Linked DNA regions of Schizosaccharomyces pombe. The gene in region 2 interacts genetically with the main gene of each other region. Each region holds a gene or a part of one and is shown on either strand. Other genes may lie near its edges.

Evidence for each region.
Region 1: of psy1 (region 2) and syb1, extra expression of one rescues a mutant of the other (dosage rescue), as found in Schizosaccharomyces pombe (2 studies listed by BioGRID, with this or other methods).

What each region holds. Positions count from the first base shown.
Region 1 is NC_003424.3:3,266,257-3,270,170, reverse strand, and holds syb1 (synaptobrevin family receptor), read right to left. Parts: upstream 1,881-3,914; 5' UTR 1,861-1,880; coding exon 1,659-1,860; intron 1,595-1,658; coding exon 1,431-1,594; 3' UTR 501-1,430; downstream 1-500. Other genes in the region: helicase Sen1, read left to right, coding at 2,646-3,914.
Region 2 is NC_003421.2:1,027,001-1,031,282, forward strand, and holds psy1 (plasma membrane SNARE Psy1), read right to left. Parts: upstream 2,220-4,282; 5' UTR 2,147-2,219; coding exon 1,292-2,146; 3' UTR 501-1,291; downstream 1-500. Other genes in the region: glucosidase II beta subunit Gbs1, read left to right, coding at 1-111, 156-438; putative histone N-acetyltransferase Naa40, read right to left, coding at 3,256-3,828.

The sequences.
Region 1 (3,914 bases), on a different chromosome or scaffold from region 2:
TACACTTCTAACTATAGGTAGCACTTGTTACCTAAGGAACCGTAGTAAAAATGTAGGTTATAATCATCTTTGTTTTGATAAATATCAAGAGTTGTTGTGATTCCCTGGTTTTTCACAATCTATTTACATATCAAACTTATATATTTTTTAAATTTTCTGGTTAGTATCATTATAAGCGTAATTCTAGTAAGGAAGACAATTACAATTTATTAAAATTATATACAAATATTTGAAGATATATTTAATTCAATCACTCAGTAAAAGTGAACGATTTAATATATGTAGTTTATTATTATATTTCAACGAGAATTCATACAAACAATATTACAAAAAAATCTGTTGATTTTTTCAATCATCTAAATTATTAAAATATTGGGCTATTATTATCTATTCTTCAGACTAAAGCATTTTAAGGGGAGCAAATATACTACTTTCTGATACAATTAAATTCTAAATTACGTTAAGTTACATTGATAGTAAACAAAAACAAATGCAGTACTGTTGAACCCAGTTGATGAATATATCTTAATTCGTAAACCGTGCTGCATTCAAAATTTAAAATACTACACGAATGAAGGATTAGACCACAATATCTGTTGAGCAAAATAGAAGTCGAAAAATAATACAATTGTTAATCTGGATATAAAACCACGTGTGAGCAAACTTAAAAAATATTTCCTAATTATCAGGTTTACACATTTCACTCTATAAAATTAATTAAGAATAGTGGTTTTTTAATACACCTATCAGTGCAATAATCAGTATAAAAAGAAGCTAGCTTCTAAAGGAAAAATATGAAAATAAGATAACAAATTTGCTCCCGTACTAAGTACTTTTGAAGAATTAGAAAAAAGCCGTAGACAAATGGAATATCGAGGCTAATCTGTATACATTAAAACATTATCCATCTTTATGCTATAGGGTTATCCATATAAAGAGCGGAATAGAAAAGAAATACCGAGAAGGAAACAAAAATTCTATTTACCATCTTAAGTACGGAAAGTAATGATAATTTTGTATCCATAAAGATTTCCTTTGTCAAGCAAGCAAGGCCCATGATATGTATGGTGAGGTGTAGAAAGAAGAAAAGAGGAAAAAGCAATACAGGCCAAAACCAAATTGCTCAACAAAAAACCAACCTGGTATTCACTATCATTGACCCGTCAGTCATCAAGTATGTATATGCAAGAAAAATAAAAACGAATAAAGGATCTTGAGAAAAAATGCGTTATCTCTTTGCAAAAAAAGTGGCCCTGTCTACATCAGAAGCTTTTTTCTTAAAATTCGATTTATAGGTTGTTGTGTCAGGCAAGAGAGAAAGAAAGAGAGAAGGAAGAAAAAAACCAGAGACAAAAATACGCTTGAAAAAAAAGTATTCAAACAGCAAATATTTTGACTCGGCATGCGACTAAGCTACATGATACATCTTCTTACTTGCCATGAAATTTTGTTGCGATAGGAACAATAATGACAACAAGTAAAATGATGATACCAATGATAATGCAAAGACGCATACGCATGTCCTTCCACCACATCTTCTTGCGAACACGATTGGCGCCACGACGGAAGCCTTGCGCGCTAACAGCAAGGTTATCTTAAAGAAGTTAGCTAAACGTTCAAAAAAAAAATTTAACTGTTAACAAAAATAAATATCATACCTGTTTTATCTTGTAAAGAATCAAGGCGTTCTCCACGTTCTGAAACCTTAGAAATGTTTTCACGCATAATCCCCACAGTATCGTCAATCTGCTGCTGAATTGCAGCTGTCTTCATATTCGGCGTCGACGAAGCAGCAGCATTTCCACTACGAACAGCTGCAGAAGGCTCCGCCGGGATATATGGGTCATATGGCTCAGACATGGTCGTATGTGTTAGTTGGTGGAGGATTTATTTTTGCGCTCGGTTGGAGTTGATGTGTACCAATTCGTTAATCCTCTTTCCATTGCGTTAAACATCTGGCTTTGTAATGTTGGGTTGCAAAGCAGTTTTGTGATTATACTTATATAAATTAAAGAAAAAAAATAAAATAAAGTAATAAAATTACTTCTTGCCTTTTTACAATAAGAAACATGTAACTAGCTGTACCCTCATAGTAAATAACGTAAACAAATCCTTAGTATTGGTGAATTTGGGAGGAACCAACTACGCCCTTTGGAATAGAGATTTGGAAACACGTCTTGTTTCTTGGCGATTTGAGCTGTTCATAACAATATATTTCTTCTTCTAAATTTCCTTGAGTTATGAAATTTTTATGAAAGTTTTAACTTTCACATAGTGTTAAAAGGTCTCCTCTCATCGCTGTAGCGTCCGAAACGTTATTTGTTATTTTATTCTTGAGATCTTTTGTAAATAAAATTTTATTTACGTTACGATTTACGTCTGGATTAGGGTTTTGGTTTTGGCACTTGCAATATTAGATTTTTCCTGGGTTTTTGGTCTATCGGTGAAACAACGTTTATTTGGGTCCATTTAATCATACATTTATTAGAAAAAAGTCTTTAAAAAAGAGACAATACTCACTTACCTACATTTCTTTTGTTTGTTTTTTTGTTTTCACTCTTTTATCAGAAAAACAGGTTGAAATTTCCAAAAAAAATATTATTTACTTCATAACATTAAAAAAATATTAAATTTGATTGTTACAAATGGCGGAGAATCTTAGCGATCAAGATTGTTTTGAAAAATTATCGTCTAGTAAAGAGGGTCAGCATTGGTTTTGCTCAGGACTACTGACTCAGTATATACAACCTACCTTCTTTTGGTTTGCACATGATGAAACTCCGAGCTTTAAATGGGTATTAAATGCCTATCATGAGCGTTTACGCTCTTGTACTTCTTGTATACAAGCTTATTATGAACTTCGAAATGAATCCCTTGCGAAAGGTTCATATTCTTTTACTGGGTTTTCAATTACCGATTTACAGGAAAAGTGGAATAAATGGGATATTATCCGTGTCTTAGAGGACTTCAAGGCCCTGGAGGATGAAACAATTGACTTCACGTCTTTGCCTTGCTTAATTTTCGAAACCCTCTTGAATCCTAAATTGTTTACCTGTAAAAATATTTATAAAAATGCAATAGATGCATTTAATGGTCTACTTTCAGATTGGTGTTCTAATATATTTCTTCCTGGTTATTTACTATTTTTCTATGAAGCTTCCCATCCCGATGTTTTGGAATGGGTTCATAGCTTTTTTAAGGAAAATACTGAAATAAGAATTTCTTCTGCTACAGTTGACGCCGTTTTTAATACTGTAGTGTTTGAAAGTCAAAATTCCTCTGACAGTGATTGTAATTTCGTGTCTATAAGTAGTCCTGAATTTTGGGAACGTACTTACATGTTTTTAGAACTTCTTCCTTTACAATCCATTACTGCTGCATGTGAGTCCATTTTAAAAGATTATCTTTTAAATTTGGTAAAGACTTCTGAATCTCTATCCTCTCAACAAATGTCCTGTCTTCGAATTTGCTGCAATTCCTCATCCTTTTGGTCTGCCGCTGATTCATTTAAGGAAGTGTCTTCTTTCTTAAAAAACTTGCTAAAAAATGTTACAGCTACACCTTTTGAAGTATCTGACATGAACTGGGCTTACATTATTGCTTCATTTTTTCGCACATGTTTAAATGACTTTGTTAGTGTTTTTCCGGAATGGCTTAAAGGATTTGTAGAAGAGAAGCGTACTATAGGTTTCATCATTTATTCGGTTTTGGATGCGTTATTTGATCTATTATCGCTAGATTACAGCTCTCCTTCATTTCTTAACAATACACTATCGTTGATGAATGCTAATAGCATCACTATTTTACAAGATTATCCGGAGTACATGCTGAAACTCAGATTGCACTCTTTACTTTATGACATTGCATTTATAAGTTGGTCTCATAAGGCAATCACTAAAAATCCCTCATTTGTT
Region 2 (4,282 bases):
GTGGGATTTGTACAGAGCTATCAAGGGAATGGAAACAAAACGTGAAATTGGTGGCTATACATACAAGGTGGTGTTTTACGAAAATGTTTTTCAAGATTCCATTCTATTAGGGTAGGTGTAGATTTGCTTTGGTATGTGTTTGCTAACAACTCTAGAAATTTTGCCTCGCAGGAAGGAAATGTTCTAAAGTATGAAAATGGTCAAAGTTGCTGGAATGGTCCTCATAGATCTGCCATTGTTACTGTTGAATGTGGAGTAGAAAATGAGATTGTTAGTGTACTGGAGGCTCAGAAATGTGAGTATTTAATCAAAATGAAGAGCCCTGCTGCGTGCTCCCCTGATCAACTCAAGCAGTCTTTACTCAACACCCAAAACAGCGCAAACGAAAATGCTGTTAATGGAATGGAAGACAAGGAATCATCTGTCGATGAGTTATAATATAATATCGCTTATGCCATTTAAATAAATTACTACATTCAACTCATGGTCGTCTCTACAGTAAATTACGCCTATTTTTTTTAAGCATTTTGAAAATATACAACAACGTTTATTGAAATATCCAGAACTGATGATGAACTTCGATTCCGTTCATATACGTATAAACACATAAACTGTTAAAACAATGCTGTTATCGTCTTTTAAAAAACCAAATAAATTTTGTTGGTTTCTACCAATATAAAACCCGAGAATGATGTAAAACACTGCTGGGGTAAAGAACGAAGCAGCATGCCATGAATAAACAAAATAACAATGCCAGACGTGTAGTCCAAATATTTTACACTGCAACTTAAGTAACGAGCGATGAGTGAAAATGAAAAGACTTTCCAGAGTCCATAAATCACAATCGGACCGTTCAAACGGGAAATATGCTAAAAAGGTAAACGTTTCAAAGGTGATATCTAACCGGCCATATCACTGCAGCATTTGAAAATAAATACATTTGCAGCAACTCAAATATTAAGTAAGGGTAGATGGGGAAACGGAAAGGTGTAGACAGGGATTGTAATAACGATCGCAGAGAATTTTGCAAGAGATGGATGAAAGGAAATGAAAATGAATAAGAATAACGTGGATAAAGGGTGAAAAAGGTAAAATTGTACAAACTATACAAGTCCAAGGAAGAAAGGTTTAAAAGAAAAGAAACAGAAAAAAAAGGGGTAAGCAAAAGGATTATGGTTAGAACAGTCAAGATACTAGAAGAATAAAAGAATATCATTAAAACCAAGTAATGAAAAACATGATTTTTTAAAAGAAAAAAACTTTTCATGCAACAAGGAAGAATGACCGTTGATCAATGTCTATTGCCAAGAACAGGAATCAAAACACCACATAAAACAGCAACGATTACACAAATGATAACAACACAAATACCAAAGCAAATCCACTTTTTCTTACGAGCTGCTCTAGCGCTCTTGATAGCTCTATCCATATGCTGAGTTCCTTCACCCATATTCGTGCGAACGTTAACAGCATCCGTTACAATTTTATCCACCATTGGTTCTTGCTCCTGTACCATAGTAGCCATATCCTGGAAAAGCTGTGCAAGTTCAGCAATGGTTCTTTCAATTCTTTTAATATCGGCATGACGCTCCTGGACTTCCCGTAATGCAGTGCGAGCTTCACCAGACCGATTTGATCGAAGCAAAGCCTGAGCAAATACTTGTCCACCATTTTCTTCATTTATAGCGGTTTGAAAATCATCTTCAGTAGCCCTGGGGTTGGCAATTTCAAGCTGCCGACGCATACGTTGTTCATATTGAGCACGATATGTCTTTTCTATTTGTAAAAAGTGACGAATTTGGTCCATAAATTTCTTTTTTACAGCTTCGGTCTGTGTTTTTCTGGTGGCTGTGTCATTATCGGGTGGCAGCTGCATATTTTGAGACTCTAATGACCGGATGGCCAACTGAACGCTAGTTTGGAGACGTCGAGTATCTGATGTGTAACCTTCTAAATGGCGAGTCGTAGCTGCAATATTTGCTTCGTCAATTTCTTGCAGCGATTGTTGATGCAACATCTCAATTCGACCGACATTATCTTCGATTTGACGAATGGCATCGCGAATATGATCGATCTCTTCAAAAAACTCTCCCATACTAAGAGGGATCATCTCCACTCCTAGTGTATAATCGTTTGCTTTATTCATTTTGTTATATTTATCTGTTTAAACCCGTTTTGTTGAACAAACAAGGTATAGATACCTTCTGTTGTTGTTGGTTAAAGACAAGAACGTTTTTCCTACTAAAAATAAAGAATCATACAGCAGCATTTAACGAATGTTTTCGCAGACAATGGTAAACAAAAGGCGGCTTAGCAACAACACACTGTTGAAAGTCCGCCAATCATAATCAAATCCGAGCTTTGTGTGACGTAGCAGTGTTTACTTTTTAATGTTGTACAATACAATCCGTTAAACTTGATATCAAAAATATACGCCTAATACTTAAAAATTGAATTCCAAGGAAGTTGGAGTTTGTTAAAATCACAATAGGATACTCTCCTCGTTATTTGGACTTGTATGAGGTACGAATAAGGAGTGAAGTTTTCTTGATATTCTGGTTGAAAAGAAAGATTTTTGCTGTAGTTTATTTCAAGAAATGCATAAAAAATATTTAATTGTTTTTCGTAGTTGATGGAGTTGACTGTCTCGGAATTAATCGTTCTTTTTTGTTTTTGTTTTTTAACACTAAAAGCAATCATGGTTTGAATGCCATTGGAAACGAGAAAGGAATGCTGAAAATTTTAGTTATCATTGTCGGTAATTTTTCTCTGATCTATACTTCTAGGTTTGAATTTGAAACAGAAGTAATCGATATCCTAAGTGATTTTCTTTGAGTAATTAAAAAGATAGTAACTATATACCTCAATATAGGTAGAAATATTTTGACATTAATGAATAAATTAAAATAGAAATTGTAGCCCCTCCAATCCCTAAGCTGTTATGGTTGAAAAGCAATTCGCATCATGTAACATTACAACGTTGCTAATGGAATAAAACAAAAGTCCTGAACAGAAATTTCAAATATTTTACTAAAGTTTTAAAGGTTTAGTAAATGGAACAATATTTTGATGGGACCAGGTCATAATGTATGGTATCGTAGATTTAAAAAATACACAAAATTTGATGACTTCAATGCAAAACATTAAACTCAGAGATTGGATGCACCAAAGAAGAAAAGAGACTATACACATATTTTGTAGTTTTAGAGGGGGATGGCAAAAAGGTATGAAGCATGTGTGTATACGGAAGCTCAATTACCAATCCTTTCTGGACTTCGTATAAAGTATATAATAGTCCGGATGAATTACTTTTCCTGATCTAAATTTTTTCTCTTGGGGAGATGACTCATGAGGTACAAAATCAAAATGATGATAGAAATTCAAGGCGTTTAAATTGGCGCTAAATACTGTCAGGAAAATATATTTTAGGTTTCGTCGATATGCAAGTATACTTGCATTTTTTAATAACCATTTCCCAACGTTCCTCCCTCGTATATGCTCATCTAGCTGTATCTCATATATGTATAAACAAGTCAGACCTGCTTCCACAGTGTCTTCAAAACTCAGAAATCCTACCAATTTTTTCGAGGTTTTTTCAAAAATACAAATATACTCTAATTTTTCCATCTCCATTTCCTTCAATTTCTCTGAATCATCCCATCCGAAGGAGCTTTGTCGATATAGTGCTTCCATGTTCTTTTTTACCAAATTGAAACATTGCTGAAGAAGTCCTTTTTCTAGATGATGATATATCTCCACCCAAACCCCTAAGTTTTTTAAAAAATCAACGTCTTCGAGTGTAACATTCTTGATTTCCTGGGTCTTCATACGTCTGGGTGAGTAAAAGAGGTATTGCTTCAAAAAATGCATAATGTTGTTAAGGTATCAATATCACATTACACTTTTAAAAACCAAAGATTGAATAAGGGTTTAATACATATCGAGCAAAATGCTATCATTTTTATTATTGTTGCTACAGCAAGCCTACTTAGTAATACACGATAACAAAAAATGAATATTCTTAATCATCTAATAATTCCTATTTCCAATAATCGTTTTAAGCCGTATCCTTTATTCAAATAACAGCAGTTGTATTAATTTAGAGCTTGACTTCTGATGAAACCGGAAGAGACCTTAAACGCAATATGCAACTTTAAAATATATATATAGTTTCCAAAGATAGAAAGAAACTTGCAAACAAAAAAAAACTTTTACAAACAATTTCGGGGTCATTAACGCGTATATTTCAATTAGCATGATTTAACTTCAAGGCATTTTAGCA